Linked DNA regions of Mus musculus. The protein of the gene in region 3 interacts with the protein of the main gene of each other region in a pairwise test. Links are inferred from orthologs where the notes say so. Each region holds a gene or a part of one and is shown on either strand. Other genes may lie near its edges.

Region 1 (8,410 bases), on a different chromosome or scaffold from region 3:
AAGCCATTATTTTCCTGGGGCCATCCAACTGGACTCTGTCTTTTCACAGACCTGAGATGCCACATCTTTCTCACTTTTTCATATCTACTTACTTTTGAATTTGCTATGGGCCACTCAGGAGCCCCTTACCAAGCCCGAGCCTAGCTTCTACTGTTCCTTTCAGATTTAAGGTAAATCCAAATTGCCCCTTATCCTTCTATTTCCTCAGTACCTGTTGGCAATGCTTTCTTCCTGACTCAAGTGACTTCTATTGAATTATCCTGTTGTTGTTTTAGAAGTTGGATCTGGAAAACATTCACATTTCCTGCCTACATCCGAGTTGCTATAGGGGCTCACTCACTTACTTATTCACAAGTTGCCAAACAGCAGCCACTGTCAGACAGAAGCCAACTAGAACAGTTCAGATCTTCAAAGAAACCATCAGCTTGTATGGAAAACAGAAAGCTTCAAAGAATGATAGAGCTGTGGTTGGATCCTAAGGAGGCTAAGCCCATGAGAACTAATGTATGATGCTTAGTAACATGAAATTATCTGAAAACTTGAGTGCTAAGGCCCTAGAATGAGTGAGTTAAAGAGAGGATGTGAGAGTCTTAAAAGATAGATCACATCCAAGGGTGGGAAGAACATGTCCTAGTAACCGTGATAAGTTGCAAGAACATAAGAACAAAGCAAAATTATACTCAGACAGGTCAAAGAACTTGGCTAGGGTCACAGAATTAGCGCATAACCCAGGAAGAAATTTATTTGTCCTTTCTAGCCTGCTGGGCTGCCACCCCAAAGGGGACTGATGAAACCAGAGATGTTCACTGTAAGAGTATAAGCATATGTTGGCAGAGGGGTGAATTATGAAAAACTAAGGGATACTTATGGACTACCTGATAGACTAAGGTTCACTGAACACTGAACATGTAGTCTTTCCTTTTCCAGGTACTGGTGAACACAAATATGATTCCTGTCCTCCTGTGCCTACCTTCTAGTGGAGACAACAAAGAAAAAAGGTTAACTTTACAGTGGCTTAGGAGGTGACAAGTGCTACTATAAAAATATGGAGCAATATGAGGGGCCCAGGTACAAAGTAAAGAGAGTGATTACCTTTACAGAGAAGGTGACAATAGCTGAAGACCAATACTAGGCTTGCTGGTGCATACCTTTAATCTAAGCACTCAGGAGGCAGTGGCAGATGGATCCCTGTGAAGTTTGAGGGCATCCTGGTTTACATAGTGAGTGCCAGGTCAGCCAGAATTACAGAGTGAGACCCTATCTCAAAACAAAAAAATTATATCTACCTGTGAAATTTTCTCAAAGAATTAATCAAAATACTAAAAAATTTTAAAAAGTTCATGGGACTGGGTAAGGTCAGTGAAGGAATGTATCAGCCGCAAAAATAGTGCCCTGGGTGAGAGTGAGCCAGAGGGGGAACAGTGTGGGTGTGATGGGAGAAGGAGGAATTTCATGGCAGGCTTTGCAGATTATGGTGAGAACTCCAGCTCATACTGCTGAGGAAGGGCTGAGGAGGAACAGAGAAAACAGAGGACAATTCAAGGACGGAACTGTGAGAACTCAGAGGCTGGATATGGGGGATTGTTGCTGCAGTGAACAAAGGAGCCAAACAAGACACAAAAGTTTTGAAGCCGGTTCCTGGCTTAAAGGAAAGAGGGCAAAGGGCCTATATTACATTTATGGGGAGCTGTTAAGTCTCAGGCCTTTCTCAGTTTGAGAGACTGATACTGTGCCCTTAAAGTCCCTAAACTGATTTTCTTTGCTTTGAGGGACGTAGAACATAGAATCTGTGTTCGACCCTGGGCCTTCATTACTCCTGGCACAGCTCCAGGTAGCCCCAACCCGTTGTGCACTTTGCCCTTTAATTCTCTTTACATTCCATACTTCCAAAACTCCTGTGGCTTTGCTTTCAAGGGAGTCTCATTCAGGAATGCTCCTTCCCATGTGACTTGAGTGTCTGTACGTCTAACAGGACACATTTTGATGAGTTTTGAAGATCTAAAAGTCCCCAGCCCATTCCCCTGAGAGCTAAAGTGACTCTTGTAGAGCTAATGTAAAGACAAAGCCTCATGTGGATTGGGTTTCTAAGCCCCAGCCCTGTGAACCACTGACACAATACTCAGCATGCCCACTCCAGTTTCGAGGTCTCAGCTTCTCCTGGCACAGTCACCCCTCCAAACCATTTGGTCATATCTTGCTGGCCCCTCAGATGTTCTGTGTCCCCCAACTCGGTTTTAAAATGGGTCCCACCCATTCCCTCCTACTTCCTCCAGGCTCTGTCACCCACACGCAGCAGCCTCTAAGGGCAAGCCCGCAACTCTTACCCGGTTTAGACACTCAAATGATCGACCTCAGCTTGCAGACAACCGGCAACCAGAGAAGTCTGGCTGAACACCCGCCACCCTTTTCTACTGATAGATATGAGCCCACAATCAGCAGAGCTTCCTTCATAATGTTGATTGGTCTAGCTTGGCTCTGGCGCAACCAATTGACGCTCACAGCATGATTTTGCCCAATGAGGCTAGTCTTTGGCTGCCGACGCACCGCCCTCTTGCTCTTGGGCGAGTTTTGCCAGGTTAGCCCCACCTCTTCGTTCCCAAACCAATGGGAAGCGGGCTGTGCGCGCGTGGAGCAGTGGGAACGCCGCTGAGGCTGCGAGTACGCCGTTGCCTTAACAACCGGTGGCAGAGTCCGTTGGGTGATGGTAAGTGCTAGGGATTCGGTGGACCCCACGCGGCGTCCCCGGTCCTTTCCTAGGCCTCGGTGCAGCCTTGCTACCTTTCTTGCACGGTTCTTGGCGTTGACGCACTAGTTCTTCCTTGGAGCTGTGTGCCGGAAGGGTAGAAGAGAAAGTACAGCCGCCAGCAGCTTGCCTTGCCTGCTCTTTCCCACTACCCCCTCCTCGCCCAAGTCACCTTCAGCCACCCCCGCACAAACTGCCTCTGGACCTCCGCTGGCTTTCAGGAAACAGCAGGGTGACCATTCTATTGCTTCCCTTAGACTTCCGCCTCAGTCAAACTCAGGCCTCCTGGCCGCGGCCACCCAGTTAAAGTTTATGCATTGGTGCTAAGAGGTTTACTGTGTTCTGATGGTCGCAAACGCTTTCAGGAGAGGCTGTGAGAAAGCACGCAGGTGCAAATGGTTTGATTTTTATCACTTTGTACCGGCATAATTTTTATCTTAGTAAGTTTACATTTAGCCAAATTTAGGCATAAGTAATTGGAGGAGCAGAGTTCTTGGGAACTGGCACCACAAGTAGATGTTTTAAGTACATTTCTAAAACCGAGAGTACGGAAATCATATACAGTTGATCATCCATAACTGTAATTGGTTTCTCAAAGAGCTTTTGATGATGCTTTTTTAGATTTAAAAATGACTGAAATTGAATCTCCTAAAGTGACACATGGATTAATGGTACAATTGCATGAACTTTCTGTAGTATAAACTTTAAGACAGTGGAGGTCAGAGTTATGTCTTCTCATGAAGGCTATGTTAACACTAGAAATTCATATTCATATATTCACTTGCTCTATGTTGATCTATACAAGAACAAGGAGGAAAATGGTAATATACTATTTTAAAACAAAAACTCTCTTCTATTTGGTGGCTCCCCAATGAAATATAGTTGAATTTAGTCATATGAGACATCACATTAAGACAAATTTACAGTTATATTAGAAAATAACCTCATTATTGCCAATTTCTTTTTTTATAACTTAGTAAAAACTGACATATATAAATTGAAATAGTTTTAAGTTGAGAGAAAGTTTTTTCTTCACAGAGGTTTGTGCTATTTGTCATTTAGAGTTGGGGTTAATTTTATTTTAGTTTTTACACTTATTATTCCTTGGTGGAGAAGCACATTTTAGCCTGAGTGTGGCGGTCAGAGAATAATTTGGAAGAGTTAGTTCTCTCCTTTTACCATGTAAGCATCGTTTCCCTTTTCATCTTTGACAACGACAACTGAAGCCTGGGTCCTGGTTCCCACTTAGGTTATCAAGCTTGGCAGCAAGAATTCTCACTGGCCCATGGAAGTTTACGTAATGACATAAGTACATTACAAACGATGGCACACCTCATTGAAAAAGATATGTATGTTTAGAGCTGTCATAAATAAAACAAGGACTATGGCTTGTAATAATGTGCTTCTGTGTTTATATATTGTGTGAAGGCCTCTAATTTTAAGAAGACAACCATGGCATCCAGTGCCCAGAGAAAAAGGATGAGTCCTAAGCCTGAACTTACTGAAGACCAGAAACAGGAAATCCGGGAAGCTTTTGATCTCTTTGATGCTGATGGAACTGGAACTATAGACATCAAAGAACTGAAGGTAAGCTGCACACATCCTTTTCTTTGTTACCTTGTGTTTCCTTATTGCTTGTCTTTTAGCTGTTACCGTTCTTCTCCTTTCTGCCTGCAAAAAGTAACAGACAAGGGTACCCTGTGTATATTTTACCTGAAACAATGGTCTAATTGATAAAGTTGATTGCAAATATCAATTAAATCAGCCTTAAGTGTTCCCTGATCATTTCCATCATTTTATCAGGTGTTTGGTTAATATCTTCAATAGTCATTTTTGTTTTTACGTTATGTATCTATTTAGATGATTCTGTTTTCATTGTAGGTGGCAATGAGGGCCCTGGGCTTTGAGCCCAAGAAAGAAGAAATTAAGAAAATGATAAGTGAAATTGATAAAGAAGGAACAGGAAAAATGAACTTCAGTGACTTTTTGACAGTGATGACTCAGAAAATGGTAAGTTAGTTAAGATAATTAGCATGCTTTCTACCCATAATGGTAGAAACATGAGAATCTAGACATACAAAGAGCTTTATCCAACAAAATCTATCCCTTCCACATGGGAGAAGATAGTATTTTTAATTGAGAGGATCTCTACGTTTCATTTGGCTTTCTTTAAGGTATTAGCATTATCTTGTTTCATGTGGCCACATGATAATCACAAGCAGTAAAAACTTTTAACACCGAGATTTTCAATGCTAGTCATTTTTGGTTTTAATTTATTATTATTAAAAATTAAATTATCATACAATAAATCAGGTGTCAATCTGACATTTTCAGACAAATGGTTCACACTTAAGATTGGTTCCTAGATTATTCTTCCACCTGAACCTCCTGGCAAGAACCTTCCTGAAATAGCTGAGGTTTGAACGCTTTCAGAAATTCTGCTCTTCTGCATTACAAGGACTCAGGGCCCTGGTAATTCTTTGAAGGCCATTGTGAAAAATACCTCTCTCCTCCTCTGCCTTTATCAGTCTATCTGTTTTAGCAATGTATTTTCCCTGACTACAACCCTACTCACTGCTTCTATATTTTAAAAATGAATCTAGTGTCTGCTTGTTTTGTACAGTACTTTATATACAATTATATTTCCTATGTAACCCCTGAGTTTATATTCACTTTACTAAGTATGTTTTCTTTTTTTTTTTTTTTTTTACAATGTACCATACTTGTTTGCCTGTGACCAAGGACATATATCATGACAGCTATCACCAGGACCTTATGATAATGTGGGCCATGGCCGGGGAATTAATCTAAGAAGATAGTTTTCCTACAACTCCCTTCTTGGGATTAGAACTGGGCAGCGTTCTATACAAGACAAAGCACAGGAGGGACAGTATAGATACCTGGCCAGATCCAGTGTCAGGTGTTAGAAAGATGAGCCCCAGCTCACTCCAGAGGCTCTTGTCTTCTACCTGTGAAAACAGTATATGACTGTTCGGCTATAATAGGAACCTGTCCTTGCCACATGATACTTTGCCCCACCCCCCCAACAAGTCCTCATGTCTATTTTTTAGGACTTCTTGACTTTTTCAAAAGCAGGCATCTTTTTTCTACTAAGTTCTGATTTGATTATGGAATAGATGATGGCAGAGGAAGTAGAAAGGGAATATATGCCACCATGAATCAGAGGACCTGGCTTCCTAACATTGTTCAAGTCAGGTTTTTGGAGACAAAAAGATGACCGGGGAGTAGCAAGAGTGGCTGGATATAAGTAACTATCACTTTTGTGTTCTACTCCAGTCTGAGAAAGACACTAAAGAAGAAATCCTGAAAGCTTTCAAGTTGTTCGATGATGATGAGACTGGGAAAATATCATTCAAGAATCTTAAGCGCGTGGCCAAGGAGCTGGGTGAGAACCTGACAGATGAGGAACTGCAGGTGAGAAAAAGGCTATGGCTTTCGTGGGTTCTATTTTCTCTATTTTCCTTCTTTGAAGGAAAGCTAGTATCCCTCATACCTGTGGTGATAATTTCATACCTGTGGACCCTGTTTCGATAATACACATGTACAATTGAAGTTCCCTCATTTGGGTTTCAGGTCAGGGTGACTTTCCAGCTTCTTTTCAATGGATGCATATGACAGTCATTGAGATTTGGCTTTTAAGTAACTTTCATAGAAAGGGGCATACTCACATTAAATGGACCATAGTCATCTTTTCTCATAGCATTATTTGAAGTTTCTTCTTTTTTTTCTTTTGTTTTGTTTTTCGTTTTTTTCAAGACAGGGTTTCTCTGTGTAGCCCTGGCTGTCCTGGAACACACTCTGTAGACCAGGCCGGCCTTGAACTCAGAAATCTGCTTTTGTCTGCCTCCCAAGTGCTGGAACTAAAGGTGTGCGCCACCACAGCCTGTCTGAAGTTTCTTATCTAATTACTTTCAGTTTAGTTTGTGACTTAATCTAAGATGAACCCTTATCTCTGTGCAGGAAATGATTGATGAAGCTGATCGAGATGGAGATGGTGAGGTCAATGAGCAAGAGTTCCTGCGCATCATGAAAAAGACCAGCCTCTATTAAGATCAGTGTTTCTTTTTCTACTGCAAGCACATGTGACTAGATTTAGTGCCTGGCATTTTGTGAAATATGGCTTTTGAAAGCCTCCCTCCCCCAACCTGGGGTAACTTTAGCCATGACCTTGAATCTATTTTTGACTTTTGGAAGTGTTCTTTGATATTAAGTTCTTTGTACATTTACCTGCTGACTAAATCAACAGGGCAGAACAAGAGCACATAGAGTGGGGAAAAGGGTCTGAAAGTGTGACTGTGGCCACCCCACCTTCCATTACTTCACCTTGCTCATGCATATCCACTCGACTGAAAACATGCAGTGGCTTCTTAGTTGTCCATGTATCCATGTCACCATAAGCAGTGGTTGTTCTTAAAGTGGTTTTGGTTTTCATTTGACACCACAGTACAGTTTTCTCTTTTACAAAACCCAATGAGTGCTTGCTGTGGCATTTGGATGTGTGTTAATGTATTTGTTTGGTCTTTAAAAAAATAAAACCTTTCTTAATTTAAGCTCTCATTCTTTAAAGGATGAGTATTTTTTAGCTTTAACTGTGAGTTCACCTTGTAAACAACTGTGTTGAGGACAGCCTGGTACATATATACAATTTGTCATCGGCCTATGGATTAAAAAAGGGTAATAATTCTTTGTAACTTTTCTGCCATAAATAGTTTTTTTGCTTTCAGAACTTGTGGATTTTTACAGCTAGTAGAATTTCTTATGCTCTAAGCCTATAGAGTCTTATGTGTAATTTCTGCTTGGACAAAATGGAGAGGGATGGGCAGTAGGTAATATTCAGGCAATCTTATGAGATTATTTGTTTTATAATATCTCATTGTACAAGTGCCCTCTGGGCTTGCACAGAATTGCCTATGAGAGAAGCCCAAGTATGTGGCATTGACATCTAATCCAGGATGAGGGTGGGAACAAGAAGAGCTGAAGGGAAATGGAAAATGAACAATGATTAAATACATACATGAAAATGTACCTACATATATACACACACAAAACCCACTATAAGAGCCAGGCAGGTGATCAAGATGGCAATCCCAATGGATGAGGCAGGAGGGTTGCCATGACTTTTAGTCATGCTGGGCCTACATAATGAGTTTCGTATCATTCTGGGTCACAAAGTCTGATCCTGTCTCAAAGAAGCAAAACAAAACAAGACTCCACATAACCAGATCGGTTTGAATCATATCATCAATGGGTTATATGTACATATAGTTAAAAATTTGTAGATATATTTATTTTATGGGTATGATTATTTTGCCAGCATGTATATATGCACATTATGTGTGAGCCTGGTGCCTGCATTAGTTAGAAGAGGGTATAAAATTCTATATAACTAGAGTAAGGGACAGTTGTGAGTCACCATGTAGGTGCTGGGTGCTGGAAATCGAACCCAGGTCTTATGCAAGAGCAACAAGGCAAGAAGTTCTCTTAACCACTAAGTAAACTCTCCATACTCTTTCCCACTCTCTCTGTTTCTGTGGCTCATTTGTCTGTCTGTCTCTGTTTCTTTTTCTTCCTCTGTCTGTCTGTCTGTCTCTTTCTCTCTCTCTCTCTGTATGTGTGTGTGTAATAATAAAGGCCTCCAATTCCTCT
Region 2 (7,881 bases), about 15 Mb from region 3:
TAACCTTAATCTCAGGGACAGTGCTGTGCTGTAAAGTTGAGACAACAGCAACGACACTGTTGTGAGGGATGTCTTTGGCAGGGTAGAAATAGGAGCACTTAGGAAATGCCACCTGAAGATGGTGGCAGCTTACTGTAGTTGGATCTTGGATAGTGATCTTAATGAGTTACTCAGGATGAGTTACTCAGGGTGTATACAGTTAAAGATTTTTCAATAGAAGATTCTGGAAGGCTAGGAATTGGCTACTGTAACTTAATTATATTGCTTACAGTGTTATATAGACATTATATGAATTATTTTGTTAAGTTACTGACCAATGATACCATTTTAGGGGTCATAATCTAAGCATGTAGTTATTTTCATATATTAAAAAATTAAAACTAATACAATTATATGTATATACAAAACCTTTATTTAAATATTAAAGACATAATACAGGAAAGAAAAGAAATGGAATGAGAAGGCAGATCCCCCCCCTTAGGAAACTCATAAGAGCACCACAGTGAAGTTAGCACAGGCTACCTTGGAACCAGATTCCAGGCTTCAGATCTGGGTTCTGACTCTGTAACTTGGTTAGTTTACTTGTCTGTGACTCGTTTTCATCGATGAAATGGGGACCAGTGTAATGTGGTTTCTGGGAGGTATGTGGGTGATGAGCATGTGAAATGTTAAGCACTGTACTGGATAGTAAGAGCTACTAAATGCTGGTGTTGGGATTAAGAGTAGTCCCAGCACTCAGCACAAAGAAGTAACCCAGGCTCTGGAAGTTTGAAGTCCACCTGGTCTGCATGAGGAACCCCAGGCCAGACAGGGCCAATGAGACCCTGTCTCCAAGCAAAACACTCCAAGAGTTTGTGCCAGGCAGAGAAAATAGTGCTTCCTTTGATGCAGAATGCATTTGTATTGTTGGGACATTAAAACATTCTATTCTATAATCTCATTGTTTTATTTTCTGTCTTTAACTTTTGAAGGCTATTTTAAGCATTATTATTCAGAGTTTTGTAAAACATTTTTTCATAAGTACTATTCTAAGTATTGCAGATTTTTATATTTTACTACTTCAGAACAGAGTTTCATATCACCTAAACCTTAGCTTTATGGACCATTTGTTGTTGCCTAAGGACACTGTCCCACAGATATCTGCAGATGTGCCTGGCTTATTGGGCTCTCCCCATGATGAGAAAACAGCCTTAAAGTGCATTCAGTGCAGGCTACCTAGCGTCCATCCGTCACTCGGCTGAGGCCAAGGAGGAGCAGGTGCTTCCGGAATCTCTGCTCTTAAAGGAAGGTCAATAGAAGTGAGAGATTTTCACCTCATCTGTTCTTGGCTTGTATTTCTTACATTTTAAAATCCTATCTAAAATAAAATGTTACAGTGTTTTCATTTTGAGTATTTATCCAGCACTGAAATTTTTGCATTTGGCGGGATGAATGGTAGTTAAGATTACCAAGAAATTGTGGTGAGGGCCTTAGGATGTAAGTGTAGTAACAGGACATTTTGATTCTGTGTGAGAGAGATTGCTGTCTTGGGTCAGAGTTGTTACCTGTAGCCCCGGGACTGAACCGAACTGTGCTCTCTGTGCGTCCCACATTTGTGGACGCTGCTTCTCTGCTACCAAATAGCATAGCAGTTTAGACTGTGAGCTTAGGACCCTGAAAACCTAAAATGTTTCCTATCAGGCCTTTTATAGGAAATCTTTGTCAAGCCTTCACCCAGGAAAATTTAAGTTTTTGCAAAGGGAATTTTTTTTTTTAACTTAAATCTTTAGGGATAGAAGATGTCCAAGAAGATTGTAGGAGTAGAGTAGATGCAGTCTAGCATAGAAGTGACAAAGCGGCATGGTACTACATGCTCAGCACGATGAGAAGCTTGATCTCATGCAGTCCCCTCTGTTAGAGGAGGGTCAGAGCACTGGGACGGCAGCCTTGAGTCAGACTGATGGATGGTCTTACGTAGTGAAGGAAGATGGGACTTCAGTCAGCGGAGTTTAAGGAATGGGAGTTTGTATTTTACAACAGTAATTGATGAGAAGGTCAAAGATGAGCTGAAGCGATTTTGGAGGCAGAAAGTTCTAGACTTTATGATCAAGATTGTTAGGGTGAAAAGAAAGAGACTCTATTTGAGAGTAAAGTAAGATAGTGTCTTCAGAACTCTAGTGTCCAATACTTGGATAATTAAGGGACATTTATGGGGTTGAGGGTAATGCCACTGTTTCAGAGTCAGTAATGCAGCTACCTTTCCTTCAGTGGAGGTCTAAGAGGCTGTGAAGCCCATAGAAGGACTTGAAAGTCCAATATTTTTGAGTTTGAAGTAAGTATTAAATGTTTGGATAGGAACTAACTTCTCTCTCTCTCTTTCTTTCTTTCTGTACTTTTTTTTTTTAAAAATGTAAGAGTGCTTTGTTGTGTGTATGTATACCTACATACCTGAAGAGGGTGTCCGATTCCTTTATAGATCCCTTTAAAGATGGTTGTGAGCCACCATGTGCTTGCTGAGAATTGAACTCTGGAAGAGCAGCCAGTGTTCTAACCACTGAGCAATCTCCCCAGCTCTCTAACTTTATCTTTTATGATTTTGATTTGTCTTTTCAGAATTTTGTTTCCTTATGTGATTTTTGTAAGATCTAATACTTTTGATGGACTGAAATTTCCAACAGTGTAGTCAAATTGTATACCTTTGTAATTGGTTTTAGTTGCTTTATGTCATTACAATGTAAAAATCAACACAACAGAAAGTAGTTGCATGCACAGAAATTTGGAACTTTTGAACCAGGTGATATCTTAGCTATGTGTGTGTGTTAATTGCTTTAAATCCTCCTGTTTTTTTTACAGGTGTGGGCTACCATGCCTGGTTTGTTTTCATTGGAAAAAAGATGTCTTACAGAGAAGTTGTACTTGTAGAGCAGAAATGAAAGGTGACGATGTAGACGAGCGTCACCATAACACACTTCATGTTGGGTGATGCTTTAGTTGCTCAGGGTCATGAGTCCTAAGAGAAGTGCATTCTGTCAGAGTATCGCTGGGCGTTTTATAGACCAATCTGTCTGAAGTACTGATAGCGCGTGCAGGTGAGATAGTGTGCGTACTTGTTGGCCTCCTGTCTGTTGTGGCTTTAAGCACATTAGTCTTTTCAGCAGGGTGCCTTTCTGCTTTACCTGTCATGTATGTTACTTAATCCATGAAGAAAATTTCATAACAGTTTTTTTTTCTTGTCCTGCTTTTTTGTTGGGACTGAATTCAAAATACGTTGAGTGTGTGCCATAGAGTTAACTGTGGTATTTTATTTTGGTGTTATGGCTGTAGGTATGCCAATTCTTGTTACTGAATATTTATGAGCTTTGATTTGCATACTTATAGTAATAGTCTTCAATTAGGTTTTTGGAAATCTTTTTTTGGATAAAATTAATGGCGAGAGATAATTTTGGATATATGTGTAGTTGATGTAACATTAGCTTTGACTAGGTGCTTATTCAGCCAAATACAGATGAAATAACAATAGACAGACAACAACTTGAAGAGGACTTAGATTGTATTTTTTTACTTAGGATTCAATAAACATCCCAGTACTTTCCATCTACAGACATTTGAAAATTTCAAATGAATCTATAGATCCCAGCAGTTCACTGTTAATGATAGAATGATAAGTGCTTTTTCTTATAGTAGCAGAACAGCATATGGAGTTACTTCAGAAATAGATATTTTGAGAATTCTACCAAGCAACATAAAATTTTATACTATAGACATCAGTTTTTATTATGACTTTATTAAAGGCCTATGCTATTAAAATATATAAGCTTAGTATATTGATATATGGCTTTATTCTAAAAGAGTAAAATGGCCCTGCTTTAGACCTGCTTCCAGAGAGGTTTAGCCCATCTTCACAGTAGCTGAAATCAATGTAATTTTTTTGAATCATGAAAGTGCTGATAGAATTTGCATTTACTAACTTGTCTTATGCTTATATTGGTGTTGGCAATGACTTCTGTTAATTTCACAGGCTTAGTTGAATTCAACTAGAGGAAGAATTGGGGTATTAAACTGTTTAACAGCTTTAACATGGCCAGGGCAAATTGTTCACTTAAACTTAGTGACCTGAGAGAGGTGGAGTAATGTTTTTGTGGACTTAATTATTTTATACTTACATATACTTAGAATGAGTGCGTTGCTCCTGTGTGTTTACATTGCACTGTGTGAAGGGCCTAGGTCAGAAGAGGGCATTGGGCCCCTGGACTGGAGTTATAGACTGTCGTGATTTGCCAAGTGCTTGCTGGGAATTGAACTCAGATCCTCTGCAAGAACAAGTGGTCCTAACTGCTGAGCCATCTCTCATCCTCAGTTTAATTCTTAACAATAGTAGGCTTTAAATAAATAGTGTGTATATGTTGTCCCTTTTTTGGCCTTTGTACAATATAATTTAGCTTACATTTATAGTACAGACATTAAAAGTTTAACATTTAAAATTTGGATTTGGAATTCAGGTTTTATTTTTGAGTTTTAGTGATCTACCGTGACATTTAATTATTAGACTAAATGTTGACAGACTCCCAGGTGTTGCTCTCAGTGAATAGCTGATTTTTACATGAATGTCCTCACTTGAAAAGTTTCTTTTAACTCTAGTGACAGACTGGATACTAGAGAGAGATCCACATGAGGAGATACTGAAAGCATTTAAACTATTTGACGATGACGATTCAGGAAAGATAAGCTTGAGGAATTTACGGCGTGTTGCCAGAGAGCTGGGTGAGAACATGAGCGATGAGGAGCTCCGGGCCATGATAGAGGAGTTTGACAAAGACGGCGATGGAGAGAGTAAGTTTACCTTACTTTTGTCTAAAATCTGTTGATTTTTGTGACTCCCAGCAAGTTCTCCCCACCCCCACTTTTCCTTTCCCTTTTATTTTTGAAGACAAACTCATGATACTTTAAAGTGATTTCAAGTTTGACCTGGTACTTAAGATCCTTTGTCTTAGCCTCCTGAATAGATGAGAGTCCAGTTGGATGCCACACTCTGTAAGCTTCATTTGTATTGAAGCAGACCCTTAAGACAACTTAATGAGCTAAAATACGAAGTATCATACAGACTTCTCTGAAGAAGAAATATTACTAATATGTAGCTCTTCACTAAAAGTTTAGATCTCAGTGCTTTCTTCCTTAACCTGTTTACACTTCTGAACTATTACTAAATTTGTAGATTTTTCTTTTAACCACTTTTAATCTATTTTTGTTTGTTTGTTTGTTTGTTTTCTCTGCTGCTCTGTTTCAGTTCCTGAGTTATATTTAAAATGTCACAATGTTCTTTCCCAGGCTGCCTGTGAGGTGCAGCGTTGTGTACCACCTGTCCGGCAAATATATGCTGGTGTCTCTCACAGCCTTCCCATTGCCCTCTGGGCTTATTAGCCTTCATCTCCTTTTCATTCTGTCGATAATATTCTTTTCCTAAATGTGGGTTGTAGTGTCGTCATTTCTGTGCTCAGACACTGAAGAGTGAATCTTCACTACCTGCAGAGTAAAGCACACACTTAGTACTGAGGTCTATTTATGCTGCATTCTTCATTCTTGCTTTAACTGTTATGTACTGAACATCTATATCCTGATGACGGTGGCTTTGCTGCTTTCTTCTCTTAGGGAGCAGAGAGCCCACTTGTCTGTTGAAGTGCTTCTCACTTTCTCCAGCGAGAACTTTGGAAACACCATCTTTTTCTCAAAAGCCTCCTTAGTGGTGTATGGCAGCTGATGAGGGTGCCATTAAGGGCTCATGACATTTAGAAGAGCAAACTACCTTCATATTTTAGTATGTTTAATATGGATCCTCTTGGTTGCAAACCAAGTTTTGTACTTTTTTTTTTATATTTTAAACTGATGAAGATAAAAATATTTTTTTGCCATTTTGTGACATTTAGTAATTCATTTGCTTTTATAAATGTTTAATGGTATCCAATTTTTAAGAATAACTATTTTTTCAATATTATGGGTTTAATGAAATAAAGACTGCAAATGTGGATATGAAGGCAAATAATGTATACTACAAAATAGACATAAATATGTAGGTATATCTGAAGATAAAGAAGATTAATACCACAGTCTCTCAAAATAAATATAAATAATATAAAACAAAGTACACTATGTGCTTTTATAAAAATGAAAGTAACATTTAAGAAGCTATAGCAGACCACTTTTTAAATAATGATAATGATGGTTGGAATCTTTTATGTTACTCAATTTTCATAATAGCTTCTGTAAAGTGGATAGAGTACTGTAGCTGTATGCACATAAGAGAGATGCGTGTATAGTAGATTATCACAGAGCTAGTCCATGATAGCAGCAGAGCTCAGACTCAGTTCTCCACAGTGAAAAGGGCATTCTGTATTGTTTGAGATACTACAGTAAGATGTTAACTGCGATGGGAAGCAGTGTATTAATTTATTGACTAGTACTTCTGATGCTAAACTTTGTTTTTTTATTTTTCTTTTGAAGCCATGTAGCTTCTCAGGTACTCAAACTTTATATAGATTGTGTGTGTGTGTGTGTGTGTGTCTGTCTGTCTGTGTTTGTGTCTGTGTGTGTTTGAGAGTCATTTCTCACCTTCTTCCTTGTTGAGGGAGTGACTTCCTGTTTCTGTTTCCGGGTTGCATACTTCTGGCTAGCATGCCTGCTAAGATTCTCCCTTCTCTCTGTAGGAGTGCTGAGATCACAGAAGTGCACTGCACTATCTCTCAGGTTTTTATCTGGGTCCTGGGGGTTGAATTCTGGTCACCAGGCTTATGTGGTGAATGCTTTTTGGCTGAGCCATCTTCTTGGCCACTCAGATACTTATCTTTAAGCCAGGTGTTATGCTGTTGTCAGAAAGATGGTTGGTGAAGTTAGAAAGCCTGGCTTTCTTGTCACCTCCCTAGTAGTCAAGTGGCTAGTTTGGTTCCTTTAGTTCCTTTGTTCTTTACTGTTTTAGACTTAACTGTTATGCTTTTGGATATTAAATCATGAAATAGATTAAAATATTTTTGTAATACTATCATATGTTAAAGTATATATAAATAACATAAAACAGCTATTTGTGACTTCTACAACTTTTTGAAGCTGAATTTGAAGTTTGATTATTGAAATTTTATATTTTAAAAAAAGCAAAATCTTGAATAAAACTAAAGTACTTAGTTTTTAGTCATAGCTCTGTTACAGTATTAAATGATTTATAACCAAATCACTTTGAAGCTCCTTTTATTGCTTTCCTAAGAAAATAATACTTTCTGGTTTGGCCTAGAAGCCTCAGTGTAGATTGCTTCAATTGTGTTTTTAGATGAAGCTCCACACTGGCTTAGGATTCTTATCTATTTGAATTCTTAGTTGGGAGACAAACAGGTCGTATTCTCATAAGCTCTTTAGATGTGGTATTTAACCGAAGAGGTCACAACTCTTCATTTCTCAGGTTCATGAGTTGCTTTGTGTCCTGTCTCTTCCGTGTCTCTCAGAGGACCTTGTAAATGTTTCAGACTGAGCAGGAGCTGATGGAAGTCGGCCTGCTTTGACTTAGACTTCTCACTGGCCTTAGCTCACGGTTTACCTTTCTAGGTGTGTTTCCTCTTCCTGTGTCTGGGATGGCATTCCCCACCTTGCCTTCCCTTCTTTCTAAATGCCATACTTTTAATTGACAATCCAAGTCATGAGTTGTCTTTAGTAGTGTTTTCCAATACTTTTTGATCCATATTTTATAATATATTACTGTAAGTTCTGTCCATTTATTCTCCATTTCAAACTGAGCACAATTATTGCACCAGCTCTGGGGTTACTTTATTAGATGAATTCTTGACATATATGCCATAAGTGAACATTTTCTAAACCATCCTCAAGGTAGCTTTAGCATGAAAGTAACCTTACCCACATATTAAG
Region 3 (7,881 bases):
CGAACTGAGTGTGATCAGCCACACTGTCACATTCACATTAACAAAATGCCTTTTATATTTCAGGGTTAGCTCTCAACATGAAAATACCTAAGAGGTAGGTATTTTCTCAACCATAAGGAGAACACTGAGGCTCTGAGCATTGATTGACCATGGTGAGGCAGTTGTCTATAGATCACTCTTGTTTATTTTCAATGTTGGTCCTGCCCTTAACATTGCTAGAACTTGACAATATAAAAGGGCTAGTTATTTAGTTTACTAGATATGCTGTTAGCCTCCAACATATAGATGAAAAATCTGTACAGTAATCTATATGCATGTGCACATATACACAACTATCACTTGCCATTACTCAGTGAGGTGCAGAGAGCCAGAGCCAGAAAGACAACTGGCCTCTATCTTTAAAAAGCATAACTAGAAGAGCCAATATTCCATCACAGATTACTGGAATTAGACATCATCCGTTACCATTTCTGGTGAATCCCACCTTAACTATGATGATTCTAATAACCAAGAGTGGTGGCTTGTCTCTTGTTCTTGAAGAATGAAGCAAGGACAGAAGTTCTACAGAACTTGTTACATAAAAGCAAATCTTTCTAGAACTCCTTGCAAGAAGGAAAATTATTCCCTAAATTGTGCATTTGCTATGCAATAAATAGAGTGTGGGATGGTCATACGTGAGATATCACCTACACAGTCTGAAGATAATCAAAGAACCCAAGGAGCAAGGCAGAAAGAGCAAGTGTACTCGTATTCTTTCACTGGGCTCTACTGAGTAGAGAGTCAGAAGGCTCTGCTTCCCTGCTCTGTTTTTCTGAGATAGGGCCTATGTAGTGCAGGTTGGTGTAAACCTGGCTATCCTCTTGTCTTAGCATCCTGGTAGGAATACAAACACATGGCACCTTGTCCAAAAGGCTCTGTGGTTTTATTGCTGAGAAAAAATATACATATTCACCATTTACAAAATAGAGTCATATGACTTAAGGGCTTGAAAGACCATCTGCAAAAATAATATTGCCCAAGATTCTTTCAAGTGAAGAAACAAAGGCAGGCATTTCTTACAAAGTGACTTAAATGGTTCCGCATTAATAATGCCACGCTGTAGAGCAAGGGAAGTGCCCCATTTCCATTGTTTACATTTATACATGTAAAGTAAAAAGCCTGAAGCTGGTTCTAGTAAGCTTCAACCTCCCCTCCTCCCCACCAGCCTCTCTCTGCACATCTCTGACTCAACAGGACTGCAACAATAGAGAGTAGTTAGCAGCCGTATTTCCATTAGTCACCTTTGCCATTGCTCCCTAACTGTAAGAAGGATACATTGCTTTTATGTTATAGTCAGTATCAATGATTAGTTTAAAATAATTTCAAGCTAAAAATGAACATTTTCTCACTTTAAATATATGACACAGGTCATTATATCATTACGTATCTTATCACTATAAGTATATGACATAGAGACATAGATCATTACATTGGTAGATACATACGCCTGAATGCTGGGGAGCAGTACATTGCTTATGAAGGACTTATTAATTGGCTGAACTAACTAATATCTCGCTAAATCTTTATTAAGACATCTTCTTTCTAAAGGCATTGTAAAGGATGTCATGCGCTGTAATTATGATCTTAGCTGCATGATTTTGGAATGTTGTGAATTGTTTTTAATATTATCACTTAAGCTAGCAGCAATAGCATTTTAAAAGTCTGGCTAAGTAATATGGTGACTTATTCTTGCTAATACACTGTAATTCATAAAAAAACTAAGGAAAAGTCATCCTACCTGATTTTGAATGGCTTGAAATATTTAAATCGGATCCTTTTCCCACTTCCAGTTCAGTGTCTCTTACAGGGTTATTTCCTGTCCAAAAAAAAAAAAAAAGAGTTGTTTTTATGTTTTTTTGTTTGTTTGTTTAAAGATTTTATTTATTTAATATATGTGAGTACACTGTAACTGTCTTCAGACACACCAGAGGAGGGCATCAGCTCTCATTACAGATGGTTGTGAGCCTCCATGTGGTTGCTGGGAATTGAACTCAGGACCTCTGGAAGAGCAGTCAGTGCTCTTAACTGTTGAGCCATCTGTTCAGCTCCCCCGCCCCAAGTTTTTAAAATTAAACCTCTTAAAAGAATACATGTGTACGTACTACGTGTACAATGGTTTTATTGCGACATATTCATGTATGCAGATAACATACTAACCCTTTCTTATTCTGTTTTCCTTGCACCTCTGGGTCCTTTTCCATTTAAATAGTACCTCTTCTACTTTTGTGTCTTAAATACATTTAAAAAAAATCTGTATCCCACACACTGGAAGAAGCTGCACTGCCTGTCTTCCCAAGCCTGCTTTGCTCTGCTTCACTTGATGATTCCATGGACGATTACCCACTCATCCACTACAGGGCGACTGGACTGGGTCTATGCTGCAATGAACATGGACGTGCAGGTATTTTATGCCAGCTCTCGTGTCCCTGAGTGTGTGTCTAGGGAGGACAGCTGGGTCACATGGTAGCTCTATATCTATAACATACGTGCATATTTATCTATCCTATGATTAAAGGTGTGCAGCACCACTGCCAGGCTCTACATTGAGTACCTTAATGACAATTCCTTCTGAACAAACTAAAGTGCTGCGGACTGATGAATATAAACAGGCAAGGGCTGGGAAGAGAAGTCCCAGCAAAGTGCTTGCCATGTAAGCTTGAGGATTCGAGTACAGGATTTCCAGAGCCCGGGGAAAGAGATAATCACTATTGTGCTGCTCTGATTTTATGACTTTTCATGAAGTTAAAAGTCAACTGCAGTTTCAATTAAAGTCCAACCGTCAAAAGAGCCGGGAATGGCAGTAAAGCGCAAGGCAGGCCCGCATCACACTGCTTTACACTGTGGACTGAGAAGAGCCCAGTGATGGTCAGGGGCAGTTCCACAGTCAAGCCAGCATCACCAACAGACTCAGGATCTTAAGTGGCATCTTGACAACTGCATATAACCGGGTTGGTGAGGCATACCAGCTAGCGTAGGGAATCTATCCGGTGCCACTTCTCCTCTAAGGTGAGATGGCTGCGAAGCACTGCATTCAACATTTGGATTCACAATAGCATAGCGAAGCAGCTCTTCATACTCCTCCTATGAGAAGCCAAGAACAGCGATGTATTACAGCAGCTATAATGTTGCATTCAAACGTTCATTTTGTTGTGTTAAGAAGTCTATGTAACCACATAATAGTCATATACTTACCACAATACAGGAAAGCTTAGCCCTTTTGCTTAGCTTGAGTCCTTTGAGTGCTCTGGCATGACGTTGACATTTATAATTAAAAATTTAATGGGGAAGTGTTGGTGATTCAATATAACACTTTTTTCTATCTCTTCTTTCTTACATTCTCTATCAATTTAACTAAAGATGATACAAGTGATGCCCCTTCAAGGCAATAAGCCCGAGTTTTAACCTGTTTCCTAGTATTTAGGAAGTGTGGCAGGTGTGTGCAAGCATCTATGTAGTTGTAGCACGGAGCAGTGGTGAGAAGAGGATCAGGAGTTTGAAGCTAGCCTGGGCTGAAGATACAAAGTAAAAGTCTGTGTTTGGAAAAAAATTTATGTAGCTTATCATAATGTTTAGTTTTCATATTGACAGAAGAAATTATAATTCTTTAAAAAGGTTGATATAGTCTTAAATTAAAATTTTTTCTAAATCATACCTGGTTGTTAAAATAAAGGAAAATCCAAATTTTTCAGTTATTAAGAAAAAGGGCAACCTTAACTTGACAGGATACACTGGGATAAGATACAAGGTATTCATTGGTCTGTGTAAACCTAGATGGGAGTTGACCCTAATAAAATAATGTACGGAATTCCAAGTCTCCAGCAGTAGCCTTTGCTAACTGACTATGAGCACCTATTTCTCCTTTTTTATGTAAATGAATAAGCCCCAGGGTTGGACCTGGGCAAATGGTCATCTACTTCTTCCACCGCCCTGCAGCTGAGGCAGTAAGAAAGCACAGCTTGTGGGATTTTAAGATCCCATGTAAATAACACACTCTTTCCTAAGCATTTCTCCTAACTCATCAGTCACAGCCCAGGTTCAAGGTAGGAGATTATGCCAATGCAGTAGTTATGCCAAATGTAGATTATGGCAAGTATAGTGGTCATAACAAGAACCTTACTACACAGAGCATTAGTGAGCCTTGGACCCTAGAATCTCAGATGGCTGACATTCTGTTACTTTTCATTAAGGATGAAAGCATTTGGCAGAGGCAGTTAAATGAGAACATTTCACATAATGTTCCGAAATTCTGAATTTTATTTTTCACTGTGCTAAAGCCTTTGCAGAAAATGCTTTTGAACAGTTCATGCCTATTTTCTGAAAACTTAAAGCAATATACTCCCCAAATTAGTTGAGAGTTGATAATATTGTAAACACGAACACTTCACTGTGAAGGGAATGAGTAAATGAAAAATGCACTTCTGGTTTTGCCATAAATTAATACTTTGTTTAAATTTTGGGGGGAATGTGGCCTCTGTAGCCCTGACTGTCTTGGCTCTCTCTATGTGAAACCTGCTGGCCTTAAACTCAGAGATCTCTCTGCCTCTGCCTCCTGAGTGCTGGGATTAAAGGCTGCACCATTACACAGCGTTTTCTAAGTTTTTAAAGTCACAATAACTTTAGATGTCTTCCTACCTGAAGGTCTGTGGAGACAGAACGGTCAGAGTCATTGTGAGCCACATGAAGTGAACACTTGTCCTCATCAGATGACATTCTGCAAACACTGTAAAACAGCACAAGTTAGCTTCAGTTCTCTCCTAATATTTACACCAAAGCTTTTAAATACATGGAGTGCAACAGTGCTTTAACTTGCAAATATTGTTCGTGTCATTTAAAAGAAATCACCCACTTGACATGTTCAGCAAAAATCCTAGGGCCAAAGAAGGGACTTACTTCAAACATTTGTGTTTCTATAATACCCTAAGAGATGTGCTAAATACACAAAGGACTGAAGAAAACTGCTTCAGAACCATTTCCTGCAGAGTTTCTCAGGAAAGAGCCTGTGGTCACCATTCTTCAGCCTTAGGTGACATCCCAGAGACCAAATACTTTCCTGTGACATTCTGGAGTAAGACAGCCCAAGAGTTTGAGTCAATTCCCTTGCTGAGATACTTACATCTGGGGAATATTACTGTAAGAAAATTAACTTCATACATTACAACATACTGAGACACACACAGAGAAATCATTCCATGTCTTAACTAAAGAAAACTATTGCAATGGGGGTGCGCAAGTTAAAAGGCAAATAGTAACTATTCAAACTCTCTGAACACCAGTAAGTCAGGCAGCATGGCCCCAGTACTGAGACCTGAGAGACAGACTCAAGATAAAAGGAGAGCTGTGTAAGCCAAGGCACAGAGGCATAGCATGTACGTGAAAAAGAATCAGGGTGCTTGGTTAGGCTGAATACAAATCAAATAAGAAGGCATAGTTACAATTATAACCTTTCATATTAAAAGGCTGAATCTTTACATAAGACATTAAATGTCTGAAACAACGGATGTGGCCAACCTTGTTTTTTATTTATTCATATTTACAATGGTGAGGGTTGAATGCACTGCAGCTATGCAAGTCAGGGGCTAGACTCTTACTGCAGAGCTACCTCTCTGAACACTGCGCTTTTCAAAAAATCACATTTTAAAAAAGAAATACTACTCTGGCAGCTTTAGGACAGATTTGGATTCTAAAACTATAGAGTCCAATCGAGAGCCAGCTGTAGGAATCCAAGCAGTAAGGGTTCTTTTAAGTATCAACCTGGGAGACAAAATGAGGTCCTTAAACCAGAATGCAGCCTTGGCAAGGGCTCTGAGGTGTGGCTCTGAGGCAGCTGTGCGACGGTGATGACAATGTGGGCTCATGACCAATGACCACTTAAACATCCAAGTGGGGACTACTGATGTGCTCAGATTTGTGTCCAGAGTAACTAGATGAAACATGCTACTACTCACCGAAGCAAGGACGGTAGCACAATGGAACTGGAAGGTCAGCAAGTTCAGTACCAGCTGTGCCGGCATGAGGTTGCCTCTGGAGCATCGGGTTTGTGGGCACGCAGGAGTCAGTATCCCTGGGCTCCTATGGATTTACTCATCTGTGGGCCAAAAGTATTTCTTAAAATCACATTGGTCTTGACATGCACAGACTTTTCTTATCGCCATCCCCTAGACAATTCTGTGCAATAACAACTTACCTAGCATTTATACTATATTAGGGTTCTATGTAAAGTGGACATAATTTAAAGTGTGAAGGGTGGTATATGTCATAGGCTACACTATGCCATTTTATATAGTTCTCTTGAACATCTGTAGATGTAGGCATCTGCAGGATCTGGGAATCAATCTGCTGAATTCTGTGGTTACAGAAGGATAGCGGTTATGTGACTACGTTGGCTACTCAGCACCCAGCTCCGAGCACTGGAATTCACAATGGCTAGGATGTGCCTTTGCCTGTATTACAAGCATAGGCTGGAGATTTAGACTGAGGAGGCATTGACCTCTTGGGGTAATACGAAAGAAATGGGGATGGATGGGATTCCCCATTGTGGTAAAAGAACTGCTATCCTGCAGACCAAACACAACTGCACACACTTTTAGAATATAAACATATGTATTTTCTAGAAGGATTTTTAGATTCAAACATGATTTCAAAGGAGTTCATAATCCTAACAGAGGACTGCTCTGAGAAGAGGAACCTAAAACTGCTAGCTTTTAAGGAACAGTGAAGTGTCAGGAGAAAGATGGGAGGCAGCCAGAACACCGGAATTGTGTGGAGAGCAGTATGAGGGTCACTGGCCAGAAGGGGGCAAGGAAGGCCCCCAGCATGCAGATCAGGAGGCTGCCTTGACACCCGTGACAGTTTCAGCTGCCCCTGGAGCAGGCCTCAATTATAGTTTGCTAAGAAAACAATTGAGATAAAGACACTGAAGAAGAAGGGAGAGATGCAGGGAAAACCACAGAATAGAAAGCCAGGGTGCAGCCAGAATTGTGCAAAGGGAATTTCTCTTTTATTCAGCATTGGTATGGTTCCAGAGGATAAGTAAACTAAGTCTGAGCTGTGACTGTCTTTCATTAAGCCATGCAGGGAAGATAAAATAGGCATGGATCTGCATCGAAGAATGAACACTTCACTAGTCTCAAATCAACCACTGTGGTAATTTGATCCGTTTTAATTTTAATTACATTTTCCCTTATGACTTGTTTGCAGACCTGGTAGGCAACCAGAGTTGGGAATTGTGGATTATTTTAGTAACAAATGAGCTGGTATGATCAGACGCCAAAATTGTTTCTTAAAAACATATTGCGGTCAGAAAGCGATCGGACTTTTGGAAAATACGTTATCTGCCATTTATCCCTGCTCTTTGCAAACAGGCAGGAGAAATAACGTGAGACGAAAACAGTAGCATTTCTTCAGTTTCTGGGTTCAGAAGAATGGTGCTTTAGAGGGTGACACGCACCATTCCACTACATTCTCGGCACTCTTTAACCTAAGCTGAAACCACAAGATACTTTGAATGCTTCTCTTTGCTACTGGTACAACTTAACTGAAAAGCGGACTCGGGGAATTCAAACGCAATCTCTAAGAGGCGGAGAACGAACCAACGTGTAGCTGGCCGCAAGGTGACTTCTCCCGTCTTAACTGCACGCAAAGAGAGGGCGAGCACCAGGCCCTTCCAAGTTTTCTTTCACCATCCTCCAATCCGGCCCCATTTAAATCTAATTCTTTCTTAATAAAAAACAACGTTCTGTTTGGCTATGTCCCCACGTCCTAAAGAACAGGACCTACTTAGTTCGCATCACTTGTGTCTTCTCTTTCTGGCACCTCCAGGGACGATGCTCCCAATCCTGCCAG
Region 4 (7,059 bases), on a different chromosome or scaffold from region 3:
AAAGGACTTTAACCCATGCTGCTATACCTTGACTGTATAAGAGAAACACAATCCTGAGACAATATTGTCATTTATCAGGAAGGTTTTACATTGAGAAGTCTTCTTTGGTAAGATTTATTTTTATTATGTATATGTATGTTTGCCATATACGTGTGTGGGTGCCCAGGGAAACCAGAAGAGGACATCAGACCCCATGGGGCTTCGTGGGTTTCATGCAGTTATAAGCTGTCCAGTGTGGGTCCTCTGCAGTAGCTCTCTTAACCACTGGGCTATCCCTCTGACACCTGAGGAGTCTTCCTGGAACCCCACCTCTTGTCTTTTTCTCATGGAACCCAGTGGCACAGGTCCTAATTCTTTGGAGATCATGTGCCTCCAGAGCATTCTGTTTTCATGACAAACATCCTCAGTTCTCTATTTACTTTTCTCACACCTAAAAAAAAAAAAAAAAAAAAAAAAAGAAACTTAAGGAAGTATTTGTTTTCAGCTCATTGAGGTTGCTGTCTATGGTGGAAGGCAAGGCAGCAAGAGAGTAAAGCAGCTCATCACTCTGTCCATGGTCAGGAAGCAGAGAGAGAGAAATGGTGGTGGCACTCAGCTGGTTTTCTCCTTTTATTCTTTCTTTGAAAGTGTTTTATTTATGCATATGCATGTTGTAAATTAAACCTTCCTTATTCTAAAATGAAAGAAGATGCTGTCCTTGGAGATTTACAAATCTCAAATTACAGAAAATTCAGATAATGTGCTTCTGCTGAGATGGAAGTTTTGAAAGCTAATGGCAAATACCAATAAGATAAAAATAAACACGTTGTAGTCATAAGTGACCCAAAACGAAATCTTCACATAAAGTTGCTCATTAAATGCTTCAATTCTGGAAATTTTCTTGGCTTGTTTTCCTGCTTGATGGTGGCTGTCACTAAAGAAGGCAACTAATTTTCTGGACTTAATTCTCATATTAGGGACTAACTTGTCAAAATAACAGTACTACCTGATTGCCATCAGAAAGGCTTTGATGAAGTAGCTGCAACAGAGAACTCACCCAGGCTACAGACACTAACACTTCAGATTCAGAGTCTTCACGTGGACCAATGTAGTGGGCACACATGTAATAATCCAAGTAGTATGAACACATACTCTTGTCACAGTGAAATAGCTTACTAAAATTTATAAAATGAGTATTATTACCTAGACACTCTAATATTAACCACATATCACAAGAGAATAAAAAGCAAGTGCTCTAATAATTAGCAGACAGCAGCTTGAAGCTAAAAGCTAATAACACATGTACATAGTTTAATAACTAAAACTGCCATTGCTATTTCTAAGAATGAGTAGCTTAAAGTGTAGCTATACATGTATGGTTTGTCTGTATGCATGCATATGAAGAACAGGGTGTCTAGAGCATCTTCCTCTATTTCTATCATACTTATTTGAGACTCACTGAACCTGAGACTTACTAATTGGCTGCATTGGTTAGCCAGTGAGCTTAGAATATGTCTTTCCCATCCCTTCCTCAACTCCTAGCACTGCAGTTAGAGGGGCATACTTGCTTCCTCATATATGGATTCTGGGTATCCAGACTCAAGTCCTCATAATTGAACAAAAAGTGATGTACCCACTAAGCCATGTCCTCAGCACCATAGATCAGTTATGTGAAGAAAAAAATTGAACATGGTTTTGAACATGTGATTTCGAGTACTAGGATAGCTGAGGCAAAAGTTTGAGTCTAGCCTGGGATACAAATGAAACTGTGTCTCAACAAGCCCAAGGGTTTGTGGCTCAATTGGTAGAGTGCTTGCCTAGCATGAAGGAGGACTGACTTCTATCCCTAGCACTGCATAACCTGGGTATGGTAGTGATGAACTTTTATAATCCTTACACTTGGGAGGTAGAGGCAGGAAGATTAGAAATTCAAGGTCATCTTTGGCTACATGTTGAGTATGGGACCAGTCTGGAACACAGGAACCGGTCTCAACAAACAAAGGAACTAGTAAGCTTAATTTCTTTAAAAAGTTATAATTTGCTTAGGCAACAATTAAATTACTTTATCCTGTGCTAGGTCTTCATGTCCTCTCTCCATACTCCTCAGTAGATAATTTAGACTCATTAAAGGAAGACACTGACATGCAGTCAAGCTAGAAAAGTCACCATTGTAGTTAATCACCTCCCAAAGGCAAGTCTATATACCTTTTCTTGTACAAAGGCCTTAAAGTTGCTAGGCAAGTAATCTAGTACTGAGCTAAAGTCCAGGTTCTGTGTGTGTAATATATATGTTTGTGTGGATGTCTATACCAGCATACACGTGTATATGTGCTCACCACCTTTCTTTTGAGGAAGGGTCTCACCATGAAGCCCTATATATCCTGAAACTCACAACTGGAATCAGACCATCCTTCAATTCACAGATCCTCCACTATCTGTCTCTCTATTGATAGAATTAGAAGGGTGTGCCACTACACACAGTTCACTACACAGACAGTTTTCTTCCTGAACCTAAAGCTCTCTAATTGGCTAAAGCTGGATACTGTAGGAGCTCTAGAAACCTGTATCTAGAAAGAAAGAAAGAAAGAAAGAAAGAAAGAAAGAAAGAAAGAAAGAAAGAAAGAAAGAGGGAGGGAGGGAGGGAGGGAGGGAGGGAGGGAGGGAGGGAGGGAGGGAGGGAGGGAGAGAGAGAGAGAGAGAGAGAGAGAGAGAGAGAGAGATCTGACTTATCTGCTCTGCCTATCTCCAAGCTTTGGGGATCCCACTGGACTTTACCCTGAGTTTGGGATACGCATGATACCCCTGAGTTTGGAAATCCAAACTCAGATTTTCAAGATTGCACAGCAGGCACTCTTTCAAGTGGGCTATCTCCCCAATACACTTTTGTTTTTTGAGACAGGGTCTCACTCTATACTCTCCAGATGACCTGGAGTTATGTAAGCCTAGACTAGCTTTGCACATTGCCTCCCAATTGGATTATAGCTGTGTGTCATCACACTCAACAAACTTACACTTCCTTTTTGAAGGGCAAGCAAGGGTTTATTGAGGAATATCTTTCCTTAATTTAAATAGTTCTTAAATAACCACATTAGTATCCTTCAGAGCAGTATGCACTTAAGTGGAAAGCTAGAATGAACTTTCTGGTAAATTCTAACTCACCATGCTAGGTCACTGACTTGAAATGAAGGAATCACCAGAATATTCGTGTTATTTAGAATCACTAAAGTGACCAGAGAACCACGATTTTATTTGACCGAGGAAGCTGTCCTCTCTTCAGTTTAATGAATGGCAAGCACTGAGTGGACTCCAGCCTCAAAGATCCTTAATTGAGATGTGTTCTTGAGAATTAAACAACAGAAACTCATATAGTAAGTATCTTCAAAATTTATAATTGATCTAGAGGCTTAGAAGCCAACCAAGACAAAGGAGGCAGGAAGAAGGAACAGACCACAGCTGTTCTGTCATACTTTCACAAAAGCAGAAGCAGGGACCTCAGCCAGTCACTTAATAAAGGTTGGTCTTTTTCATGATCTTAAGAAACTCTTCCTCGTTCACTTCTCCGTCGCCATCACGATCAGCTTCATCAATCATTTCCTGCAGCTCCTCGTCTGTGAGGCTTTCCCCCAGCTCATTGGCCACACGCTTGAGGTTTTTGAATGAAATTTTCCCAGTTTCGTCGTCATCAAACAACCTGAAAGCCTTCAGGATTTCCTCTTTGGTATCTTTCTCGGCCATCTTCTGAGTCATCACAGCCAAGAAGTCATTGAAGCTGATCTTTCCTGTGGCCTCTTTGTCTACTTCTGAAATCATTTTCTTCATCTCTTCCTTCCTGGGTTCAAAGCCAAGTGCTCTCATGGCCACCTTCAGCTCCTTCACATCGATGGTCCCGCTCCCATCAGAATCGAAGAGGTCAAAGGCTTCCCGAACTTCTTGCTTTTGATCTTCGGTGAGTTCAGGCTTAGGACCCACCTTTCTCTTGTAGCTGGTAGAGGCAACGTTTGACTTCCTGAAGGTGGACGCCATCCTCCACAACAGTTGGGATCTTAACGGTGCCCTGACATCGCACGTGTGTGAGGTGCCCTGCTAGTGCGCCTGCGCCAGCCCCTATGCGCCTGCACCTGCGCCAACCCCTATGCGCCTGCGCCAACCCCTATGCGCCTGCGCCTACTGGCAGTTAATACCTACTGGCAAGAAAGTGCTGTAGCTATTGTCTCTATAATTCTTTGGAACATGCAGTTCTTTCCAGGTCATAGGCATCTGCAGTGCCTATGTATATTTATTTGAAAATCATCTGCTCCTTTTCCATATTAATTAAAAGGACAACTATAGGGAAGTTTGACCACTTGGTATTAAATTCAAATAAGAAGGAAGAACATTAAATGGCACTCCATGTGTTCACTAGACATGATTATGAAACAGGTAAGATAAAGGCACTTACGTGTAAATTTTGAGGAAGTTTGTCTCCTATTGAACCTTAGTAAACTTTCCTGGCAGTTTCTCAAGTATGACATGTAATGTCCAGTATAATTCACTTCTAGTACCTGGGTGGTTGTTGTAATTTCATTCAGTAGGCTTTTGACTTCGACAGATGAGGGTGAAGTGTTCTGGTATGTATTTGTAAAATTCTAGCCGTGTGTTTTTATTCTCACTCACTATTTGCTACCTGCTGTACAGAGCTCCACATTCAGGCAGAAACAACCACTAAGCAAGAAGGTATCTTTAGGGGCAAACTATATTTACAAGGGAGACATCTCCCTTTTTAACTCCACCTGAAAATTTATAGGGGAAACATTTAAGGAAAGAGTCAAGGTCACCTAAAGGTAACTTTTGCTCTTAAAATCCTAACCAAATCCATGAAAATTTCATGTCTCCTTTCTTATAAGAGTATGTATAAGCTTCTGAAATAAAACTCCCACACTTTATTTGATGGCCTTGTTGTTTTGCAGATAATGTCAATGTTCTCCTTAGGTACTGCAAATAATAAATCTTACTGTACACCTTCATCTGGTCATGCTAGTAGGTTTCACATTCGTCTAGAGGAGAATCCACTGTATTGTTACATTTGTCCCTCTCTGACTGCAGACAAGGAAGGTGATGGTGCAGCATAGTGGAAACCTAAAATTGTCTTTTGAAGTTAAACGGGCCCTTCTGGGAACCAAAGCAACAAGAGAAAAGTGGAAGCTTTTTAGGAAAGGAAGAAGAAAGAAAGAAAGAAAGAAAGAAAGAAAGAAAGAAAGAAAGAAAGAAAGGAAGGAAGGAAGGAAGGAAGGAAGGAAGGAAGGAAGGAAGGAAGGAAGGAAGGAAGGAAGGAAGGAAGGAGAAAAGTTACCTAGCAAATGCAGATAGCTGACTTTTAATTTTTAGTATTCTTTAATCCCCTCCCCCCAAAATGTATATTTACCAGTATTTGATCTGTACAACAGATGACATCTGGAAGATTTTTTTTGTTCCAAATCTTCTGTATCCCAGGCATCCAGAACAGTGCTTGACACATTGAAGGGATATTGCTATCCATTGACTTCTTGCATAATTAATATTGATCCTAAAATACTTTGTAAGTTACCAAATGAAAGGTGATTCAAAAGACCCAATAATGCTAGGAATATTTTTACAAAACTGTGTTTTGTTTTATTTTGTTTTGTTTTGTTTTGAAATTATGATTTGAAATGTTGATTATAAGGTGTGTTTAGAAATTTTGTTTAGTTATTTGGTTTTCCTGGAGTCAAATGCAGGATTGCATCTATGCTGTGAAAGTACTCTCCACTGAACCCCAGCCCAGCCTTTCATGGCATGTTCAGCTGGTCAAATCTTATTTCCTTCCCCCAGTGACAATGGACACAGGTTTTAGGTATAGGGTTTTTGAAAATAAATAAATTTTTTTAAAAGCTCATTTGGTCCCTTCCCTCTCCTGCATTTCCTGTCTTTATTGCATCTTCTTTCAATTCTACATCTAATTATCTCTGCAGATTTGAAGAAGTTAACTTATCCTCTTCATGACATCCATATCTCTCATTTGAAAACCCATACTAAAATTCCCTAATGTATTTTTATTTTAAAAGCCCACAAAATCTTCAGAGACACTTTTCTAATGGGACTGGCAGATACAGACCTCAGGTCCTTCCAGACTTGCATTTCCTTTGGCAGCCCTTCTTTTGCCTAAATTTGAGACAAGCTATGATGTGTTGGGGAAAACTAAGGGCTAAAAGCTGCCATATAGAGAGTAATATTTGAGGCCAAGTTGAACTCAAAGCAAACTGGTTGTCATAGTTTCCAGATGTGTGCAATCAGCAGTCACAACAAAGGGCCACCAAAAGTTCTCTTCATAGGAAACAGTTCCCTCAAAATCAGTTCTTGATGAACATTTTGTGTTCATAGTCTTAACCCTGACTTGAAAAGGAGACATGTCTCCTTTTGCCTTATTTGAACCTTGTATTCATTTCCTGTCTCACAGATGGAAAAAACAAAGCAAGGCATAGAAGAGGCCTGTAATGAGTGTTTAATAGTATATAGTCAATAAATGTATTTTGAGGTCATACCTTGGCCTTGTCTGAACCCAGAACTTGAACATTGTTCATTACATCATTTATTATATCATGCTGCCATAGAACTGAGAGTCTTAGTAAAGCATAGCATGGCTAGAGAGAGGCTCCTGGCTATCATCCATGTACCTAGGAGTAAGGAAGTAAGAAACCTTTGTAGAATAATTCAACAGGGATTTGCATGATTTGGCTGAATCCAGGGTACTTTGCTAGCTGCTAAGTGAAGAAGGCACCTCTGGGGACAAACGCATGAATGGATATATAGAGAAAACTGGTGACTCTTTAAAAGACTCTTAGCTGGGCTGGAATATGCCAATGCCTGTAATCCAAGCATTTTAGAGACTAAGGAAAGAAGAGTATCAGGAAGTTGGGGCCAGCCTGAGCTACATAAAAATAATCCTCTCCACCACACCCCCAAATTCTTAATGCACCTTCAAAGTACTTCTTTAAAACAAACAAATAAACAAACAAACAAAAACAACTAGAGCTCTTTGGAAAACTTTATGAGGAGGCCGTTGAGGCCACCAAATCACTCTGACTC

The links.
Region 1: the proteins of Poc5 (region 3) and Cetn2 interact in binary tests that used the Homo sapiens proteins (3 or more experiments, as listed by UniProt). The link is inferred for Mus musculus from reciprocal best matches to the Homo sapiens genes POC5 and CETN2.
Region 2: the proteins of Poc5 (region 3) and Cetn3 interact in binary tests that used the Homo sapiens proteins (3 or more experiments, as listed by UniProt). The link is inferred for Mus musculus from reciprocal best matches to the Homo sapiens genes POC5 and CETN3.
Region 4: the proteins of Poc5 (region 3) and Cetn1 interact in binary tests that used the Homo sapiens proteins (3 or more experiments, as listed by UniProt). The link is inferred for Mus musculus from reciprocal best matches to the Homo sapiens genes POC5 and CETN1.

The regions. Positions count from the first base shown.
Region 1 is NC_000086.7:72,912,608-72,921,017, reverse strand, and holds Cetn2 (centrin-2), read left to right. Parts: upstream 1-2,673; 5' UTR 2,674-2,701; coding exon 2,702-2,704; intron 2,705-4,171; coding exon 4,172-4,330; intron 4,331-4,624; coding exon 4,625-4,753; intron 4,754-6,040; coding exon 6,041-6,178; intron 6,179-6,724; coding exon 6,725-6,814; 3' UTR 6,815-7,453; downstream 7,454-8,410. UniProt on the Homo sapiens protein: Plays a fundamental role in microtubule organizing center structure and function. Required for centriole duplication and correct spindle formation. Has a role in regulating cytokinesis and genome stability via cooperation with CALM1 and CCP110.
Region 2 is NC_000079.6:81,787,339-81,795,219, forward strand, and holds part of Cetn3 (centrin-3), read left to right. Parts: intron 1-4,617; coding exon 4,618-4,809; intron 4,810-5,625; coding exon of another isoform or gene 5,626-5,717; exon of another isoform or gene 5,718-7,881. UniProt on the Homo sapiens protein: Plays a fundamental role in microtubule-organizing center structure and function. As a component of the TREX-2 complex, involved in the export of mRNAs to the cytoplasm through the nuclear pores.
Region 3 is NC_000079.6:96,388,466-96,396,346, reverse strand, and holds part of Poc5 (centrosomal protein POC5), read right to left. Parts: 5' UTR 7,816-7,881; intron 6,125-7,815; 5' UTR 5,985-6,124; intron 4,760-5,984; 5' UTR 4,750-4,759; coding exon 4,672-4,749; intron 3,121-4,671; coding exon 3,003-3,120; intron 1,856-3,002; coding exon 1,778-1,855; intron 1-1,777. UniProt on the Homo sapiens protein: Essential for the assembly of the distal half of centrioles, required for centriole elongation. Acts as a negative regulator of centriole elongation.
Region 4 is NC_000084.6:9,615,418-9,622,476, forward strand, and holds Cetn1 (centrin-1), read right to left. Parts: upstream 4,053-7,059; 5' UTR 4,003-4,052; coding exon 3,484-4,002; 3' UTR 3,002-3,483; downstream 1-3,001. UniProt on the Homo sapiens protein: Plays a fundamental role in microtubule-organizing center structure and function. Plays a role in sperm cilia formation.